Drosophila melanogaster: one gene and its partners. The protein of the gene in region 2 purifies or fractionates together with the protein of the main gene of each other region. This does not show direct contact. Each region holds a gene or a part of one and is shown on either strand. Other genes may lie near its edges.

What was found.
Region 1: the proteins of wda (region 2) and Ada2b purify together in Drosophila melanogaster (affinity purification with mass spectrometry; 2 studies listed by BioGRID). This does not show direct contact.
Region 3: the proteins of wda (region 2) and Atxn7 purify together in Drosophila melanogaster (affinity purification with mass spectrometry; 2 studies listed by BioGRID). This does not show direct contact.

Annotation. Positions count from the first base shown.
Region 1 is NT_033777.3:8,236,580-8,242,571, reverse strand, and holds Ada2b (transcriptional adaptor 2b), read left to right. Parts: upstream 1-2,056; 5' UTR 2,057-2,148; coding exon 2,149-2,262; intron 2,263-2,965; coding exon 2,966-3,841; intron 3,842-4,319; coding exon of another isoform or gene 4,320-4,389; coding exon 4,390-4,469; intron 4,470-4,536; coding exon 4,537-5,134; 3' UTR 5,135-5,458; downstream 5,459-5,992. Other genes in the region: CG9636 (uncharacterized protein), read left to right, coding at 1-182. UniProt on the Drosophila melanogaster protein: Component of several Gcn5-containing histone acetyltransferase complexes that regulate nucleosome organization; involved in acetylation of histone H3, particularly on Lys-10 (H3K9ac) and Lys-15 (H3K14ac).
Region 2 is NT_033777.3:23,254,556-23,259,953, reverse strand, and holds wda (will decrease acetylation), read left to right. Parts: upstream 1-1,866; 5' UTR 1,867-1,954; coding exon 1,955-2,113; intron 2,114-2,173; coding exon 2,174-3,468; intron 3,469-3,545; coding exon 3,546-3,846; intron 3,847-3,906; coding exon 3,907-4,253; intron 4,254-4,330; coding exon 4,331-4,460; 3' UTR 4,461-4,884; downstream 4,885-5,398. Other genes in the region: Pex11c (peroxin 11c), read right to left, coding at 1-277, 973-1,044. UniProt on the Drosophila melanogaster protein: Component of the transcription regulatory complex SAGA, a multiprotein complex that activates transcription by remodeling chromatin and mediating histone acetylation and deubiquitination. The SAGA complex predominantly acetylates histone H3.
Region 3 is NT_033779.5:2,373,782-2,381,041, reverse strand, and holds Atxn7 (ataxin 7), read right to left. Parts: upstream 5,202-7,260; 5' UTR 4,899-5,201; exon of another isoform or gene 4,779-4,898; intron 4,710-4,778; exon of another isoform or gene 4,370-4,709; intron 3,911-4,369; 5' UTR 3,841-3,910; coding exon 2,767-3,840; intron 2,707-2,766; coding exon 865-2,706; 3' UTR 536-864; downstream 1-535. Other genes in the region: CG15390 (uncharacterized protein), read right to left, coding at 5,403-6,176, 6,233-6,286.

The DNA of each region.
Region 1 (5,992 bases), about 15 Mb from region 2:
CCTATGTTGACAAGAATGCCACCCAGCGCGAGTACAAGCCGGTGGTACCGAAGATGGAGCCTCGCAAGCTGGTTCGCTACCGGGACAATAAGATCGTATCGCTTAAGGGCGAGCGGTACACCGAGATTAAGCGTGACGAAGATGCTGAGTTAAAAAAACCCAAGAAGCAGATTCAACCGTAACTAAAGAGGAACAAAACCCTCTTCAAGTATTTTATCAAAAAGCAAATTAATACACACCCCAATAACTTATCCGCACCCACGAAAACGATCTTCGCCAGTAGCAGTAGCTGCAGATCCAACGTCACCAACAACAGCAGCCATCCCGAAATCGAGCACAGTGTGTGCAATCATATGCATATTGTTGGGCTGAGCGCCGCCAAAAGCCATGTCAGCACCTATTCCAGCTTCACCACACCAGTGATCCCCGCCAAGCTTAGCCAATGTTTAGACGCTTCCCAAGACGATGACGATGAGCAGCGAGAGTTTAGAGACAAAGACGAGACACCGAGCACAGCGAATCGGTTCCCATATCCGAGTGAGTATGGTGCAGAGTTTGTGGCATCTGCCGGCATGTTGGTCATACTGTTGCTAGTTGGCCATTGCCACAGGACCTTGAGCCCTCATCGCGCCAATGCCCATGACAAAGACACAAAGACTTTACATACCAAATTAGTTGATAGTTATGCTTTAGGACTACTCGCTTATGCAAATTTTGAGAGCCCATCCATCGCGGCCGCCTGCTTATGAGTCTCGATGCTGGGAGCAGGCGGTTCAGACGGATCTGGACATGGATCTGTTTCCGTTGCCAGTCGTCAATTATGACGACTGGGGTCGCGCCTGCGCTGTGACTTTTCCTTAGTTCCTTACGCAAGCGAATTCAAATCGAACCGTATCTGTGAAAATCGTGAATCTCAAACTCTTGAATGTCCTCGAACAGTATTGTTAAACATACTTCAGTCCCTAGGATCAGACGCAGGTGCGACACCAAAACCGAATTTGGCGCTCAAATAGACTTATTTAGACGTTTTTAGGTACTCGAATTGATAAATTTTGTTGGCCGTGTGCGTGTTTTTGAAAAGCGCAGCTGCACAAGTAACTTGCCATATCTGTTTAAGATCTGTTAACCCATTTTGTATCGTGTAACTCGTTTTGTTTTTCTCTGGTCCAAGCTAACTAGCAAGAGTAAACTAGCAACAATGCCACCAAAGCCACATGCAACACAAACTAGTCCTCACCGCCCACTGAGATATCTGGAACCCATAACAATTCGGCTACTGCTCGGTGTAAGACAGCAATACTAACAATAATATAAACGTATTCACCATATGAACTAATCGAATAATCAACTATTTATACAGCGTAGCCTACCCCAAATCCTTCCCAATGATTGTAATGATTGTAACCTACAATATCTCGGCAGTCCCACGCCCTATTCATGTTAGATGTAAGCAACCGAAATATTTTTCGGCAGTTATTACTTTTACACTTTTTGTTTGAAACAAAAGATATTTACCCATTTTATATTTTTTTTGTAACTCAGAATTTAGCTTAAGTTTTTAATCCTGACCACCGCTTAAATTTACGTATCGAACTGCATTTAAGCACATGAGTTTTTTATATTTTTATTCAGCACCACGCTACAAATGTTTCAACCATCACATATTCGTATTTATGTTTACCTTGTTTTGGTTTGATATGCACTTCTTTTATTTTAGTTTTATTTTATATATATTAATATTATTTTTTGTGATAATTTAAAAAAGGCAAAACACTCGAATTAAACTTTTAAAATAATTAAATAAACTACTATCAATATTTAACGCATAAACATTAGAGTTTTGAACATGTGCCTAATGTTTGAAATTTGTATTCTATATTTAATGTGTTGGTACTTTTGGTAAGTAGTATAATTTAGAAATTAACTATAATTCAGAGATTCAACAGAATTATGAAAATTAGCTAAAAAGGCTTTAAGACTAGCTATATAGGCGGCACTGTTCCGATGAACTGGTTCGGTTCGTTGGCCGTACATATAAGAATTCTCAGTAGAGCAATATGGCGTTGACTTCGCGTCTGGTCACATTACTGGCATAGGTTTTTTTCGCACAACTCATAATTGTCGTGAAAATCCAGGTTTTGGCCCAAAATGACCACAATCGCGGATTTATTCACAAAGTATAATTGCACAAATTGCCAGGATGATATTCAGGGCATTCGAGTGCACTGCGCGGAGTGCGAAAACTTCGATTTGTGTCTGCAAGTAAGTAACTCACACATACACGCCGTCGAGCGACGCACGTATACATGTTGCAGTAGGGTGGTTCGCTCTTTTTGAGGTTCTAGATACTTGTATATAGATTTGTAAATAATAAAAATCAGTTATTTTAACAAAATATTCTTGAATCACCCTCTTTGGATGGTCAAACTAATGGCCATATGGCCTCAATCCTCTAAATTAACGTCACCCAGATCTTGACAAGAAAAATATTTGCTTTAACTTTTTGTTAATTTAAAGGAAATTTGTTTATTGATTTTGGTAAATAGGTAGACTATCGTAGTTAATTTAATTAAAAATTACTTCCTTACGAATTAGCAGTGTCATTTTTATTTAGTTAAATGCCATAAATTAAAAAGAAAAAAATGTCAAAATAAGTGTCTGAATCTTGTATTAAAAAAAGGCCTGACAAAGCGTAAATTTAGGGAATATGAAATATGTTTCTGTTTTAATTTCCTAATCAAATTATTTTTATCGAGGAACTATTTACACGTTTTCTTTGTCAACATAATCGACCCACCCTGTTACACCCACACTCGTACAATCTAGAGATGCGTCGCCAATTTGGAACCAAAAACTGACTCATCTAGACATTCAAATAATACATACACACAACCGGCAATTTCACCATATTGATTAAAAAACAGCTGACTCTGTATTTATATTGTATTGTTTATTTTTTGCGCAGTGCTTTGCCGCAGGTGCGGAGATCGGCGCCCATCAAAACAACCACTCCTACCAGTTCATGGACACCGGCACTTCCATATTGAGTGTATTTCGTGGAAAGGGGGCGTGGACGGCACGAGAGGAAATCCGCCTGTTGGATGCAATCGAGCAGTACGGCTTTGGAAACTGGGAGGACATTAGCAAGCACATTGAGACGAAGTCAGCGGAGGATGCCAAAGAGGAGTACGTGAATAAGTTTGTAAATGGCACGATTGGAAGGGCCACTTGGACGCCGGCCCAGAGCCAGAGACCCCGCCTTATCGATCACACTGGAGACGACGACGCTGGTCCTCTGGGCACCAATGCTCTCTCTACCTTGCCTCCACTGGAAATCAACTCCGATGAGGCCATGCAGCTGGGCTACATGCCCAACAGGGACAGCTTTGAGCGGGAGTACGATCCCACGGCAGAGCAACTGATCTCGAACATCTCATTAAGCTCCGAGGATACGGAGGTGGATGTGATGCTTAAGCTGGCCCACGTTGACATATACACCCGCCGACTCAGAGAGCGTGCTCGCAGGAAACGGATGGTCAGGGACTATCAATTAGTATCAAATTTCTTCCGAAACAGAAATTACGCTCAGCAACAAGGACTCACCAAGGAGCAGCGCGAGTTTCGGGACAGATTTCGGGTCTACGCCCAGTTCTACACGTGTAACGAGTATGAGCGGCTATTGGGATCACTGGAGCGCGAAAAGGAACTGCGCATTCGACAGTCAGAGCTGTACCGATACCGGTATAATGGCCTGACCAAAATCGCGGAATGCACACATTTCGAGCAGCACGCCGCAACAGCGACGCACCGCTCTACAGGACCATATGGCCATGGCAAGACCGTAAGTTTAAGGCTCCGCAACAGGGGTGCCGAAATCGAACTAACCATTAAATATTTTATTTGGTCTTGAAAATCCGAACTTTTTGGAACTTTGTTATTTTTTTTTTTATTATTAAAATCCAAACATTACCTTTTCTTTCGATTGTTTCACAAAAATTAAAAGAGGTGTTAGGTGACCGGAACCGGTAGCTTTATAATTTTATCAACAATGAGTAGATTAACTTAAATTGAAAGAAAACAAATGATTTAAGTTGAATGTATAGATAAAAGTTTGGATAAATCGATTTGGAATACTTAATACAGAATATTAAATGGTCAAATTGGCTAGTTTCGATTTCATTCCCCTTGGAGTAAGCTTTTCCCACTGAGAATGCATGACGAGTTGAATATCGTGTGTTCTGCCTTGCTTTAACCGTCGTCCTTACCTGAACTGACCCAACTCTTACAATCGCTTTTCCGTCTTGTCTCACGATATTCAGCTCCACTGCATAATAAACGCGCCAAACAACGAGCGTTCGAATGGTTCTATAAGACAATGTTTAACCACAGGACCACACGCATACCTCCAATGGAAGTCATCGGCCGCCAAGCTCTTCCTTGCACTCCCCACAACCGAATCTCAGAAAGGTGTAAGTATTTTGGCAAAAAATTGCAATTACCTTAGAACTTGAATAATTCGGTTTTTCGTTTATTTAGCGAAATGTCAAGCGGCGGCGAGGCAAGTTCAAATTCAATCGCACCAAGAAACACGCTCCACATCGCCGACCCGACCTGCTCCGGCGCATTATTGCCCAGCAAAAACTACTTGGATAGCTGTCGGGGATCGTCGGCAGCTACGATGCTGCAGACGACGGGAATGGTAATGGGGGTAACAGTGGACTCGGGAGCGACGACGGGAGTGACTTCCACGGCTACGACGATGGCGAATCTGCCAACGAACTCGGCGAAGGGAAGCCAACAACATCTGCAGCCGCTGCAGCAGCATCCTCAGCTCCTGCAAAGCGGCAACCAGCACAAAATGCAAAACGAGGCCGCCGGCGGAGGCAGTGATCAGGTGCCCAGCATGAGCCTGAAATTGCGCACCCAGCTGGAGGAACTAAAACATCTGCCACAGCCGCCGGGCAGTGAACTGCTCAGTCACAACGAGCTGGATCTGTGCAAGAAGCATAATATTACGCCCACCACCTACCTCTCGGTTAAGACTGTCTGCTTGAGCGGAGCACCATCGTTGGGTAGTCCTATGGAGACTTCGCTGCGCAAGTTCTTTATCAAGTGCGGCTGGCTGAGCCACTGAACATCTTCCAACTTCCCGCTCCCCTTCGATTAAGAGCCACATGCATTTCCAAGGACTTCACTTTATTTTTGTATTAGTTAGAATAGGTTAAAGACATTTTTATACTGTTCAACTGTCGTTGGCATTTTCATCAAGGTAAAAACTACAAAACTGAAAATCAATTTACTTGTATCAAGTCAAGCTCAATTACAATAAGTGTTGTTCCTTTGTGTGAGATGTCGGGATTCAGATATTGTGTATTAACTAAGCTTAAGTAGGGGACCCAACCAATTGAATATGTATGATATGAATTGTAAATGAAGTAATAAATGTAATAGTGAATGTACAACAAGGACGCGACTTGTTTCTCGGATCTCACAGCTGGGAGACCGCTTTGGACTGAATGCCGCTAGGATATGTAAGAAGTAAGGTATTGAGTAAGCCTCTGATAGCGATAATACCGCGTTGAGTATTTATATTCGTATATTATTTCTTATGGTAGCTAGTTTTCTAGGCAAGATTCTGAACAATGCATTTGAACGTAATTCATTAAAGCCCATGAGAGCATGATAATCAATGTACTAGGCTGAGGAATGGAAAACAATGCTGGAAAAAATATATAAATATCTAATATGTTAACACATATGGAATGTTTTATAAATTAGCGAAGATTAAAACTTGTTAAATGAAAATGCGGTTATCTAATGACATTCTTCGGTATTATAAACTTAACAAAATCACTCATTCAGTTCAAGAAACCCACTAGTTATTTATCCTAGCTTATGTTCGTCCAATGCGGCACCCTAAAGCATGCACTCTGTAACCGTATACCTACAAAAATATATCATATATTTAAACAAATTTATTCTCTTTACCATT
Region 2 (5,398 bases):
GCTCGGCCAGCCAGCACACCTTCTCGATGGGATAGTAGAGCAAATCCACAATGTTGGCCGTCACTCCCAGCACTTGCATGACGCGATCGGGCTCATTCTCGCCCAAGCCATACTCCAAAGCATATTGGATCATGGGTATGTCGTCGATGAGACGCAGTGTGGCTCTCGCACCTGAGATCCTTGAGCTGGCGGTGGCGTATCGCTTGGCTAGTTCCGGATTCCGCTTGGCATGGTAGCCAGCCACCAGTTTGGCACTGTAGCACAATGCCTTCATCACCTGAAATAGGTATTTAATTTCATATATGTAATAATTGTTCTGCGCAATTCGTTAAGCCGTGTGTTTGCTCTATCACGAGAGTTGGCATCGCTGTTTACCTTTGCCTCTACCTGACCCCAATCGCCAGTCAGCCCTGCAATTTGTGGAATTGCTTGGTTGTCACAAACAGATAAAATACTATCAGCGATAAAAAGAATACAACGAATGCCACAATCATCTCGTGTGATGGCCGCCAGTGGAGTGCTCCTGGTCGTCCGTCCTGGCCGGAATGAGTTGTGGGTGGTTTCATTGTTTACCCATTAATGGTTCAGTTTGCTTGCTTTGCCATCAATGAATTAGTTATGCAATTCGGAGGAATACTAATGTCGCTATACGACTAATTTATGTAAATATCCTATAGTATTTCCAAAGTTCGTGACCACCCCATTCGCTGTTTACAGCCACATAATATATTATATTATATTTTCAAATGGTTATCAAGTATAACAAATTATTTGTTCTAATTAATAAATCTAAAATACTTTGAACAATATTTTATCGTATTCAAGGTTCGATTTTTCTATTAAAATAGAGATACACTATACAAGATTCCCTCTTTGTCTGCACTGTATACACCCCTTGTAGGGGTATATAAACTCGCGATGGTGGAAATGTGTGGATCGCGTGTCTCCTGATGGGCGGCAGTCCAAACAAACCTTTCGTTCATAACGAATTATCCGCTTTATCTGGTAGCGGCTTAAAGGTTTGCCGGCTATAGTATTGAGCATTATCTTGACTCGATCGCCGCCGAACTGCGACTGATAAGCGAAAAGCGAAATACAAAATCCATTGCGAATCAGAAAGAAGTAAGGCAAGGTCCAAACTGCTGTGGCTTCCTTGTTCGAGACCCAAAGACCAATGCCAACATCGATGCAGCAACAACATGGAAACCTGTTGGTTCAGTTTCGATTTCAAGCGAGCCCCTCAATGGACCAGTCCAAAAAGGAAATAGAAACCAGTCAAAATGCCACGATGCATTTTTTTAAATTTGCGCATACGAATTGGGAAAAACACTCGGTTCAAACGTAAACAAACAGGTGTGTTTTCAATTAATTGGAAATTTACTCGGCTGTGCGGCTCTTCTATGTTACCTTATCTCGCCCGCCATAGGAATCGATAATATCACAGAACTCGTTCACAAACTTTGTCGTGGTGCCCATAATGGCTCGTTTTTTGAAGACCAGGTACTGTTTTATATCACGTAAAAACTCGAACTGAGATACCGCAGCGAAAATACAAGAAATTGTCAAGAGCGCTCGGGAATCCAACAACACAAACAGCTGACTTTCTTCAGTGGTGACAATAGCCAAATAAACTAGCTAAGAATAGAGAATATAATAGAGCTAAAAATAAAAAGCTAGTTAATATAAATAAAATATAATATAAATATAAGTTAAAAATGTAAAAATAAATTTAAAATTAAAATATTTCAATATCAATATTGTTATAAAAGAGAAGCCAAATAGCCATCACTGACGAAAACAATTTTGAAAGAACAGCTGTTGCAGCCGCTTAAAATCGATGAATGCACATCGATAGGACAACCCATCTCCGCTGTCAGCACTATAATCGAACGCATATCGGACGCACTGCAGGACGGGATCAGGATACGGAACAAAGCGAGGCTAACACGCAACGATGAGCCTGCCCAGCGCCAGCAACCACGCACATGCTGCATCGCCCGTCTACAGCAACAGCAATAACAACAAGTCGAGCGCGAGCAGCAAAAAGACCTCCTCCAAAAACGATTTGCTACGCTGCGCCGTGGGACTCCTGCTGAAGCAGAAAAACTACGTGGTAAGTGAATAATCTTCAAATATACAATTCCTCAGAGTGTTCAAATATTCAAACCCGTAGAGCAACGAACGATTTCGGCGGTCGGATTTTTTGCTGCTGCAAAACAAACAGCAGTTTGCTGTCAACAAAATGCTGGATACGGATTTGCACGGTGGCAATAGCTTCACCTTTTCAAATGTCCAGGTTATCACCAACAACCAGCACACTGTGGACCAGCAATTTGGTCGGTTTTCGCAGTTCGTGGAGGCCCAGGCCGAACCGCTGCGTCTGGAAATGAAGCGCTTTTATGGACCCATGCTGTGCCACTTCTATCTGGATCTGCTCAAGGCTCGCGAACCGCGTGGCGCTGTGGAGTTGTTGCGCAAATATGCTCACTTGGTGGCCCCCGTGGATATGTACGATGCACCACCACCTACCAAGATCAACGGATGCTCCACTACGGCCAATGAGTCCACTTTTAACATACGCTTCGCAAAGGAAGCCCAGGACACTGGGGACACGGAACTGGACTACTTTATGCGCCTGGTGCAAACCCTGAGTGGCTACACACGGCTGGAGGCAGCAGAGTCCGATGACACAGTGGCCCATTTTCGATCTTCGAAATACGAACTACATACTACAGCCGTAGTTGTTAATAGGATATGCGCTTATCTCCAACGACGGGGCCACGTTTTAATTATGAACCTACTCTACACCTGGTTGCATGTCCATATAGTGGAGAATGAGCAGCGCGCCTTTAGTGAGGATCACCTGCTTGGCTTGACGGATGACCTGGAAGGTGAGGATGGAGAGGACGATGTTGTTTCCAAACCAGCAGTAACCCTTAATACCCGCGGAGACATAAGACCAAGCAAATCCCTCACTGAAAAGTCGAACCGAAAACGACCCGCTGAGGAGCCAAACATTATGCTAGAAACAGACATCAAACAGGAGGTAGAAACGGATGAATCTGCAGAGCTTAGTAAATTACAACTGAATATAGACGCCTGCTTGGACACCCTTAAATCGGCCACTGAACAGATACTCAAGTCTCAGGTGGAGTTGCCGCGATTTCTCAGAATCAGTGAACGTTCTCGGGGCCTCACCTCCGCCCATCTGGATCCCAGTGAGTGCCACATGTTAGCCGGGTTCGACAATTCTGCCGTACAGCTGTGGCAGTTAAACCAGAGCTACTGCCGCGGCAAGAGCTTCTACAGACGCTATCCGCAAAAGCGGTGTCCCTGGGAGCTGAACAATTGCGCGAATCAAGAGGAGGAGACGGATGAGGACAGCAGCGATGAGGATGTCAAGTGCTCTGAGGAGGAGAGACGGGAACGCAACAGGGCGCGACATTGCAAATATGCTGATAACTCCTAGTAAGTTCATCTTCCAGGTTTAGTATTGGTTTTATTTTTCAATTTTTAATCAACTAAAGTTTTTTTTTTCTAATTAGCAACGAATACGGCGGATTTCAGCTGCGAGGTCACACAAAAGGAGTCACCGATGTGCGCTTCTCCGCCCACTACCCACTCATGTATAGTGTGTCCAAAGACGCAACCATGCGGTGCTGGCGTGCCCACAACCTGCATTGCGCCGCCATATACAGAAGTCACAACTACCCAATTTGGTGCTTGGACGAAAGTCCAGTGGGCCAATACGTGGTAACGGGTTCCAAGGATTTGAGTGCGCGCCTCTGGTCGCTAGAGAAGGAACATGCGCTCATAATTTATGCCGGGCATACACAGGATGTTGAGGTTGGTTTAACCAAAAATGTCTTTGAACTTTTAGTTATATATATTTTTTTTTTCTGACAGTGCGTTGCGTTCCATCCGAATGGCAACTACATAGCCACAGGATCGGCAGATCACTCCGTTCGCCTGTGGTGTGCAACCAGCGGAAAATTGATGCGTGTCTTTGCCGACTGCCGTCAGGCGGTGACCCAGCTGGCGTTTAGCCCAGATGGAAAGATGTTGGCTGCCGCCGGAGAGGAAACGAAGGTGCGTATATTCGACTTGGCCGCCGGAGCACAGCTGGCTGAGCTCAAGGATCACTCGGCGAGCATTAGTTCTCTTTCCTGGAGCACGCACAATAGGCACCTGGCCACAGCGTGCAGCGATGGTACCTTGCGATTGTGGGACATCAAGAAACTATCGCCCATGAGGTTAGTTATATTTGTGGAATGGAAACGGAGCAATTTGTTAATATTGGTAATGATGATTTATTTTGGTTGCTCCACAGTGACAACAGTAGTGCTGGAAGCTCATCATCAGCTACAACGAATCGTGTGCTTACTGTCAATAGTTCCTGCCAGCGCTTGGTCGATGTTTTTTACGGGACCAGCAAGACGCTCTACTGCATCGGCACTTAAAGAAGACGGTTGAAAGTTCAGCCCGAATTTAGACTTTCTAGTGACGACTTATGTTTGAAAATAATTTATTTTGTAATAAGTTGTATATTATTGTTACTATCGTGTGAAACAATTCTTTATATAAATAATTCTTTTGATTTAACAATCCTGGTAGCTTTCTTGTGGAATAAAACGAGTTGGTTACAGTGTAATGCCTTTACCTGCATCGTCTACTGGTCACAGCTAAAGAATGTCTTTCAAAACGAAGTCATGGCATAAGTAATGAGTGGCCAATTTCCACAAAAGTTGAAAAATGTGTAACTATTAAAAATAAGACGAGCATTCGAATCGAATTTCAATTGTTGAAGTGATTTTTTTTAATATATTAACATTTTACCCAATACCTAAAAATGTGCAAAACTAAATAAATCTAAAGGTAATATAGAATTTTTTGGTTGAATTTAATTAGCGATGCATTAAGAGACATTTTACTGTTCTTCAATAATTTAGGTAGTTTCATATAGGTTTAGGATTGTGTAAATACATTTATATACAGCTTGGAACCTCTATGATTTTGGACATACGCACAGCCCTTTTGAACAAAGAACATTGAACTTAATTTTTAAATAATGTTGGAGTGATCAGCCTTCTGATCGTAAGTTACATGCAATCAATGAATTGAACAACTATAATCAAATATCATAACTTATGTAAATGAGCTTGTCTACGACCCAGCGGGATGCAACAAAAGCTTTATCTTTATCCGGTTGGCTTAAATATAGTGACTTATACAGCGTAATAAAAGAGGGCAGAACATGAATAAATAATAAATAGCATGCATATGCTACGCATGCCGACAGCAGCAGTCTGATTCCACAGCGCACTGGGAAGTAGAAGGTCTAGTATCACAATGTCACTTTATTCAGACCTGAAAGTCTTTGCCAATAAAGTTGGAAGGT
Region 3 (7,260 bases), on a different chromosome or scaffold from region 2:
AATTACTTAATTAATTTTAACACAATAAAATATTCTTTTAAATTGTAACTTATTTATTCGGCACTTATTTAATCGTTTTAGTGATTATTTGTTTTAAGGATATCTATAGTTGTGCCGCATACCGTAGGGATTATAAGGTTTTAAGCTTCGATAGATATTGTTAGCGTGTTCGTAAACCATTTAGACCGTTATTTTAATACGAATTTTTGAATGGCTTCACACTATTCCGGACAATTTATGTTATTTCTGACCGACATGGTCGGCGGATCCCACATTTCGGCTAACCACAGCCACTGCACTGTTCCTTACCCTTTGCCACTGCAATGTTCCTTACCCAGTGCCGTTGCCTCGAAATCTATCTTCCACTTCCACACACCTGTGCCAGCTCATGGGATCCATCAGAACAGTCGACTATGCCGTTGCAGGCTAAGCTGGTTTCCTTCGCTCGCCGGTTACTGTTCTCAACACATGGAACATAATCATAACTTGCTCCTCGTTTGGAGGAAGATATACACAATGAGGCAACGCTGGGTCTGGAGTATAATTGAACTTAGGCATGCTCTTGTATTTAAAAAGTTTACAGCGTGTATAAATAATGATTTACGAGTACCTAGCATAATGCTTAGCCACGAAAAATAATATGTATAATTGTTAAATTAATTAGAATAAACAAAGAATTACATACAATCAACTAATAGATAACTAAAAGATAATTATCACTTTTAAAAAATGAAGAATTAATTTAAAAAATTATTACAATTTAATTTAGCATTAGAGAAGAGGCTGCACATAATAGCATGGTATTGTATAAACATATAACTAGGGATGCGTGTCCGCACATCTGACCTTCCCCATCGGTTCAGATCAGACGAAGACGCGCATCAAGTCGCTGCTGGTTGGAGTGGAGTTGCCTCCCGGATTGGAACTGTTCCCCTTCCAGGGAGGATTGCTGTTGGCGCTGGGAGTGTTGCTGCTGTTCAAATTGCTGATGTTGTTCATGTTGCTGATGTTCATGTTGCTGCTGCTGTCGGACAAGGTGCGCAGCAGCTGCTTTTTGAGGAGCTGCTGTGGCGAGTGGCTCTGACTTTGGCTGGCGTTGTGGTTGCTCTGGAGCGGCAGGGTGAAGCTGGGGCGGCCGAGGGGCTGCAGCTGCTCCAGCTTGCCGGCCAACAGTCGGCGGCGTTTCTCGTAGAAACTGAAGGTCAGCTTGTTGTCCTCCTCCTTGTCGCGTTCCTTGTCCTTCGTCGGCTGCTCGCCGCCATCCTCGCTATCCGGTGGTGGCTTCTCCTCCTTCTTCGCCTTTCCCATTAGCAGTTCATTCAAACGCTTGGCTGTCATGACTCCCGGCGATCCGCTTGATCCACCACCAGCTTTTCCTCCTACCAGCGCCCTCTTATTGCACCTCAGGCGATCTTGTGCAATGACATTCGATCGCTGAGCGTAAATGGTTCTGCCCGAGGCGGGATTCTTACCCGGCAGACCGTTGCTTAACGCTGGCGAGGGCGGCGGCGGTGTGCGGGCCAGCTGACCGACCACGCCCAGGTGATTACCTCCCGACAGGGATAGCAAATTGTTGTTCGCCTTCCGCGTGGTCAACAGATTCTTGCGGAAGGTGACGCCCAGGCCCTGGGGCAACTTCACCATGCCAAACGTGTTCATGGCCAAGGGACGAGGCGCTCCGGAGTACAGCATCACGTTAAAGTAGCTGTCCTCGTGGTATTTGGCATTGGCCAGCGATGGATGGTGATTGATTTGAGGATTTGTTGTGGGTGGCTGGCTGGCGGCCTTGGCCTCCAGCTTAACAGTCTTTACGGTGTCGCTAACAGTCTCCAGTTTACTGAACTCAAAGTCGGCCAGTTCATCCGCCAGTTGGTTTGCCTCCGTTCCAGAACTCAAGTTGGTTTGTATGCCGCCCGATTGCACGACATTCACGTCCACATTTTCGTAGCCCGCGTTGGTTAGGAATTCGGCTAAGACCTTCTGCTCCAGCATGGAAACGGGATTCGACTCGGTGATCTCGTATATAATACTGGGCAGGATCATGTGCTCCTCCAGCTGCTGTTGCTGTGGATTGACCATTGCCTCATCCGTCAGAGACGGCACGTTGTAGACGCTGAACTGGCGCTGCTGCTCGTGATCCTGAAGCTTCTGATCCTGCTGCTGCTGTTGCTGCTGCTCTTGCAGTTGCTGCTGCTCGAGCATCTGCTGCTGCTGGTAAATCAGTTGCTGCAACTGCATGGCATCGATGGTGGTCAGCTCCTGCTGATGCTCTTCCTCGCCATAAACCTGCTGAACCGCCTGCTGCTGGTACACGGCGTAATCCTCGCCAATGGTTCCGTCCTCAAAGCGCAGCCTTTTAGTGGCCTGTGCGGGATGCGATAGCGATCCATTCTGCGCTTGCTGTTGTGACTGCTGTTGCGATGTGTCCAGAGCGCTCTCATCGAAGTTATTCAGAATCTCGTTGATCAGCTTGCTGTCCAGCATTTCGTCGAGCGTCTGCGAAATGGAGTTCTCGTCGGAGGTGTTGGGCAAGGGCAGTTCCTCCTCATCGGGCGCCACCTGCTCGGCGGAAACCGCTCCCGTGATGGAAGACACTGCCTGGTCCAGTTCGCTGAGCACTTGCTGCTGCTCGTAGGAATTCACCAGAGACTTATCTTTGTTCTTCTCCTTTTCCGCTTTTATTCGATGATCGCTGGAGCCCTTCAACTGAAGAGGATTTCGGTAATTGTATCATTGAGTTATTATAGTCACAATTATATGAAATACCTTTTTCTTTGGCTGCAGCTCGGGCAGCTTTTCCGCATCCGTCTGAAGCTGGGCAGGTGAATAGTTGACCCCCATCGCCACCTCGCTGGAGGCCGCTCCCAACGTGGGAGTGGGCGGTAAGCTGCAGGATGAGTTGCTGGAGGAGGAGAACATGGTTATGGCAGCCGGAGCAGCACCCACAGATGGTGGCTCCTCCTTAACAACAGCAGCGACGACGGGAGGAGCGGCTATGGCCGAACTCTTCTTCGATCCCTTTGACTCCTTGTGATTGGACTCCAGCAGGGCCGGAGCTGGCGAGGAGTGGTGGCGGTTCTTTGACGACTTCGAACGCGACCTACTTCCGGCGGAAGTGCTGCTGCTGCCCTTAGACGAGGAGGAACTGCTACTTTTACTGCTGCTGCTCTTGTGACGCGACGAAGACGAAGACGACGTGGTGCTGGATGAACCCGCAGCAGCCGGATGCTGCAGTGAAGCCGAGCTGCTGGACCCGTTCGAGCAACTGGAGAGCGTCGAGGCCGAAAGCGTATCCGTGGGCGAACTTGGCACGATAGCCCCGCCCTCCTGACTGATTTCCGTGGCAGTGAGACGAGAGTCGCTGGATATGGCTGTCCCATTTGGATTGGGATTCACTTTGCTGGATGTGGCCTCCCAGACGCTAGGATGCTGCAGCGCAATGTGGTGCTGGAAACCTGCCTTCGTGTAACATCCCGAGCAGGAACTACAGAGTACTATATCGCGACTGGCCAGCTTCGGCGCCAGATCGTAGTAGGCCATGTCCGCCGATTGCAGACGCTGGACCTGCACCTTCGCCTGTTGATCTGCGCCGGCGGAGGAGTTCTTTCCACCACGCAGATACGTCTTCTCAGCCGTTCGCAGTTGCTTGATGACCTTTTCCATGTCGAAGACCTGCTGCCACTTTTGGCCCTGCAGGCTAAACAGGGATAGTCCCGCCGATCCCGAGCCGGAATTGGAGCCGGCCGACGAGTCCGGCTTCCACATTCCCGACACCTTGTGCTTGGTTCCATTTTCCGGATAAGCTCCACCACCGGCGGGGGCCACATCGTTCAGGGGCATTCCGGATAGAAGCTGTGCTCGCGGGATCCGGGGATTCGGTACACTCGAGCAAAATTGCCCCTTAAAGCACCTGCAAAACAGGATTGATTTATTAGTTCCAGAGAAACTTTGATAGTGACAGCTTTTAACTGATACTGCAATTCATCGCTGATAAAAAACACAAAATCTGGGGCTATGCACCATGAACCCCGGACCACGGAATCCCTACGAAATGCCCATGTTAAAATCATCACTAGTTTTCATACAATAAATTCGTATATTCTATTACATATACATATGTACGTGGTTTGAATCACCACCAGGCGTGTTTAACCCTAAAACTCAAATTTAATCTTATAAGTATATCTCAAGAAGATTACAACTTTATTAGATTTAGATTTAAGGTAAATTAAAACAAGAATAATCATTTAGAATTAATTATTTATTTTTTCTTTATTTTTTTATATTATAATTAAAATTTTTTGGTGCACGTTAGGATTAACATAAACAGAACCATCGTTATAATTAAATGAATAGATATCAGCAGAACCCACTTATACATATACAACATATCCATTGACCACAGGACCCTGACCCTGAATACATACATACATACATATATAGATTTTATTAGCAACGGAAAAGTATTGGACACTGCACAAACCACTTGTGGAGGGTGTGAAGACTGTACGTCTTGGAGTATTTCTATGCGTATATTGCCATTTTTGAATGAATCTCGAAATTTAACAAACTGTTGTTTTTGATATCGTAAATTTTCAGCGAAAGCTTACAGGTGAGTGCTGCCCCCGCCCCCGCGAGCGCCAACCCCTCGGTACCCGCACCCCTTGGTCTGGATCAGCTGTTTTTGACAACCGCTACTCGAGTGGCGCCGTCTCGCTCGCACTGCCGCACACATGCGCAGCCACTCACACCGACGCACAGCACACTCACGCACTTACCCACACCAATGCAACACAAACAAAGCACACGATTGAAAATCACAAAATAAAAATCACTTAAAATGCTCGCAGGCAATTTTAGTCGAATGCCGAATGATATCGGCATTAAATGACACTTACGTCGTTAACACACTTCCATGTTTTGTTGTTTTTTTTGTGGGTTTAGGTTACCGTTCTACCCTACCCGTGGATAAATCGGATTTTTGGCCGGCCTCCGTGGAGGAAAATGCCAGGTCAACTCGAAAAAGACGAGTTGGTTGTATAGCCTAATTGATTCTGTAACGAAATCAATTAAAGCTTTCTAGTTTGTCTCGCTTTTTCGAGTTTAAAGATTGATATTATGAATATCGTTGTATTTGCTTAGGGATGGCAATTCGCGTCTCGTTACGTTACGTTGTATTTGTTGCAGCTGCAGATTAAGTGCGATATGTTATCGATAGTCGCACAGGTATTCGTTGCATACGTAGCCGATATATTAATTACATGCATTTCCGCTGAAAAGTCAGTTGAATATATTTATGAATTAAAATCTTTTTAAAGGCGATAGAAAACTATACTTAACATTTCCTATTTTTACAAGCGTTTATTTGCTGGCACAAACTATAACCATAATTAAACGTAACATTAGTCATCTTCATCACTAAGCTCATCCTCCTCCTTTCTTCTGGACTTTTGCTCCAGTTCCTTGGCGTAGAGATCCTTGAAGGCTTCGTATTCCGGCAGGGTGACGTGGCAAATCTTTGTGGCGAAACTCTTCTCGGAAGTGTCTGTAATCTGATAGAGTTTGGGGTTCGTAGTCGGCTCATTTGGATCGGCTTTCGGAGGTCGTGGCTTAAAGAGGCCCAAACGAAGCAGGAACTGGTGGCGACAACGCAGCTCCTCGAATGACAAGGTAAGGGCTGCCGATTTAACCAACTCCGGCACTTCTATGCGCATCACGTCTGTGATGAAGTTCAGTTTCTCCTCAATAGATACCTCGGATTGTGCTATCAAATCCGGACTGTTCATCAAACACTTCCACACATTTTTGCTGGTGGAGACGCGACTTTGAAGGAAGCCGATGTGGGAAAGTAACTGGTGGGAGTCGCTAACGTCCAGTAACTCGGGGTACTTCGTAAGGAGCAGGTGCAGTAGATTCTCGCCGAATTGACAGGCCCTCCAGATTTCCAGGCAGCTTATTATTTTGTCCGGCGTTCTTTTCAAAATCGCGGGGTTACCGGTAACTATTCTAAGGAAATTCACGGTTTCCAAGCCGTGGTTTTGAAAAGTTTGATGGGCCCTTCGCCAGATTTCAGGTGAGAATACAGCTAACGTGGGTTCTATTTTGATGGCTTCATCGATGTGAATTTGTTCAAGCTGCAATATCTTGGGCGTTGCCAAGTGCCTTATGTGATGTAACTGGAAAGTAACAATTTGTATCTAATTTCTATCTAATGCATTCATGATTAACTCACGTTTGACTGTTGTTTTAATACAGCTTGTGTGTTAAATAATAGTTTCCGCAACATTTTTGGCGATGTCCTCTTAAATCGGCGAGCAAAACAATGAACAGCTGATCTCTTCTTCTTTGCAATGACAGTTACCGAGAAGCGTGAACAACGGCATGTTTAGCTGGTACACCCACCATATTCGTCTATAGCTTAATTGTCTATTAAATCGCACGCATCGAACTGTTATTCTCGTCGGGTGCACAGCAAATTGTTTATAAATAGAACTGTCGCGCATAAAAAACAACAGTGGAAAGTTTTATCGTTTAGTTCTGCTACAAGCTCAGCGTAAGTTTTTTTTCTTTATTTTGTACATATGTGTGTATACATGTGTGTGAGAGTTCAACTATAGCATAATTATAATCAAACTCTGAAAGAGATATAGCTTAATGTTATAAACTAAGTACTACCCGGCTTATTTAACCAAAGAATTCAAATTATTTGTCGCCATTTGGAACCGTACAAGTAAATACATACATATGTATGTAGAAAACGACATGTAAACTGATCGATACACTGATAAAAATTTATATTCAAGTGAAAAAGCTTAAATCAAATTTATAAATGGATGTGAAATGTATTTTTATATTTCTTTTAAATATACATAAATCCATACACAAAAACCCAACTAATAAATTGTTGATATTGAAAAGGAAATCATCCAGAAATTAATCAAGAGAATTAAAATGTTATTTTTGTAATAATCTTAAAAGCTCTGTGTATCAGAGCGAACGTGACAAGTGTTTTTACTTAATGAGGAAACTATTGGCCAGGAGAGGAGGGCTCGTTCGATCAGTGATAACTTTGAATTCCCGTACAGGTGGCATCCAGAATAACTCAAGTAATGCTCAAACAAGGTCAAACTCAATAACATTGTGAAATAGCACAACTACTTCTGGTCGATTTTCATTCAAACAATTGGAATGGGATAAACTGCCGGTGGGGAGTGAGATAAAGCGTTCAATTCTCTCGCATTATTTCTGATAAGGAGGGCT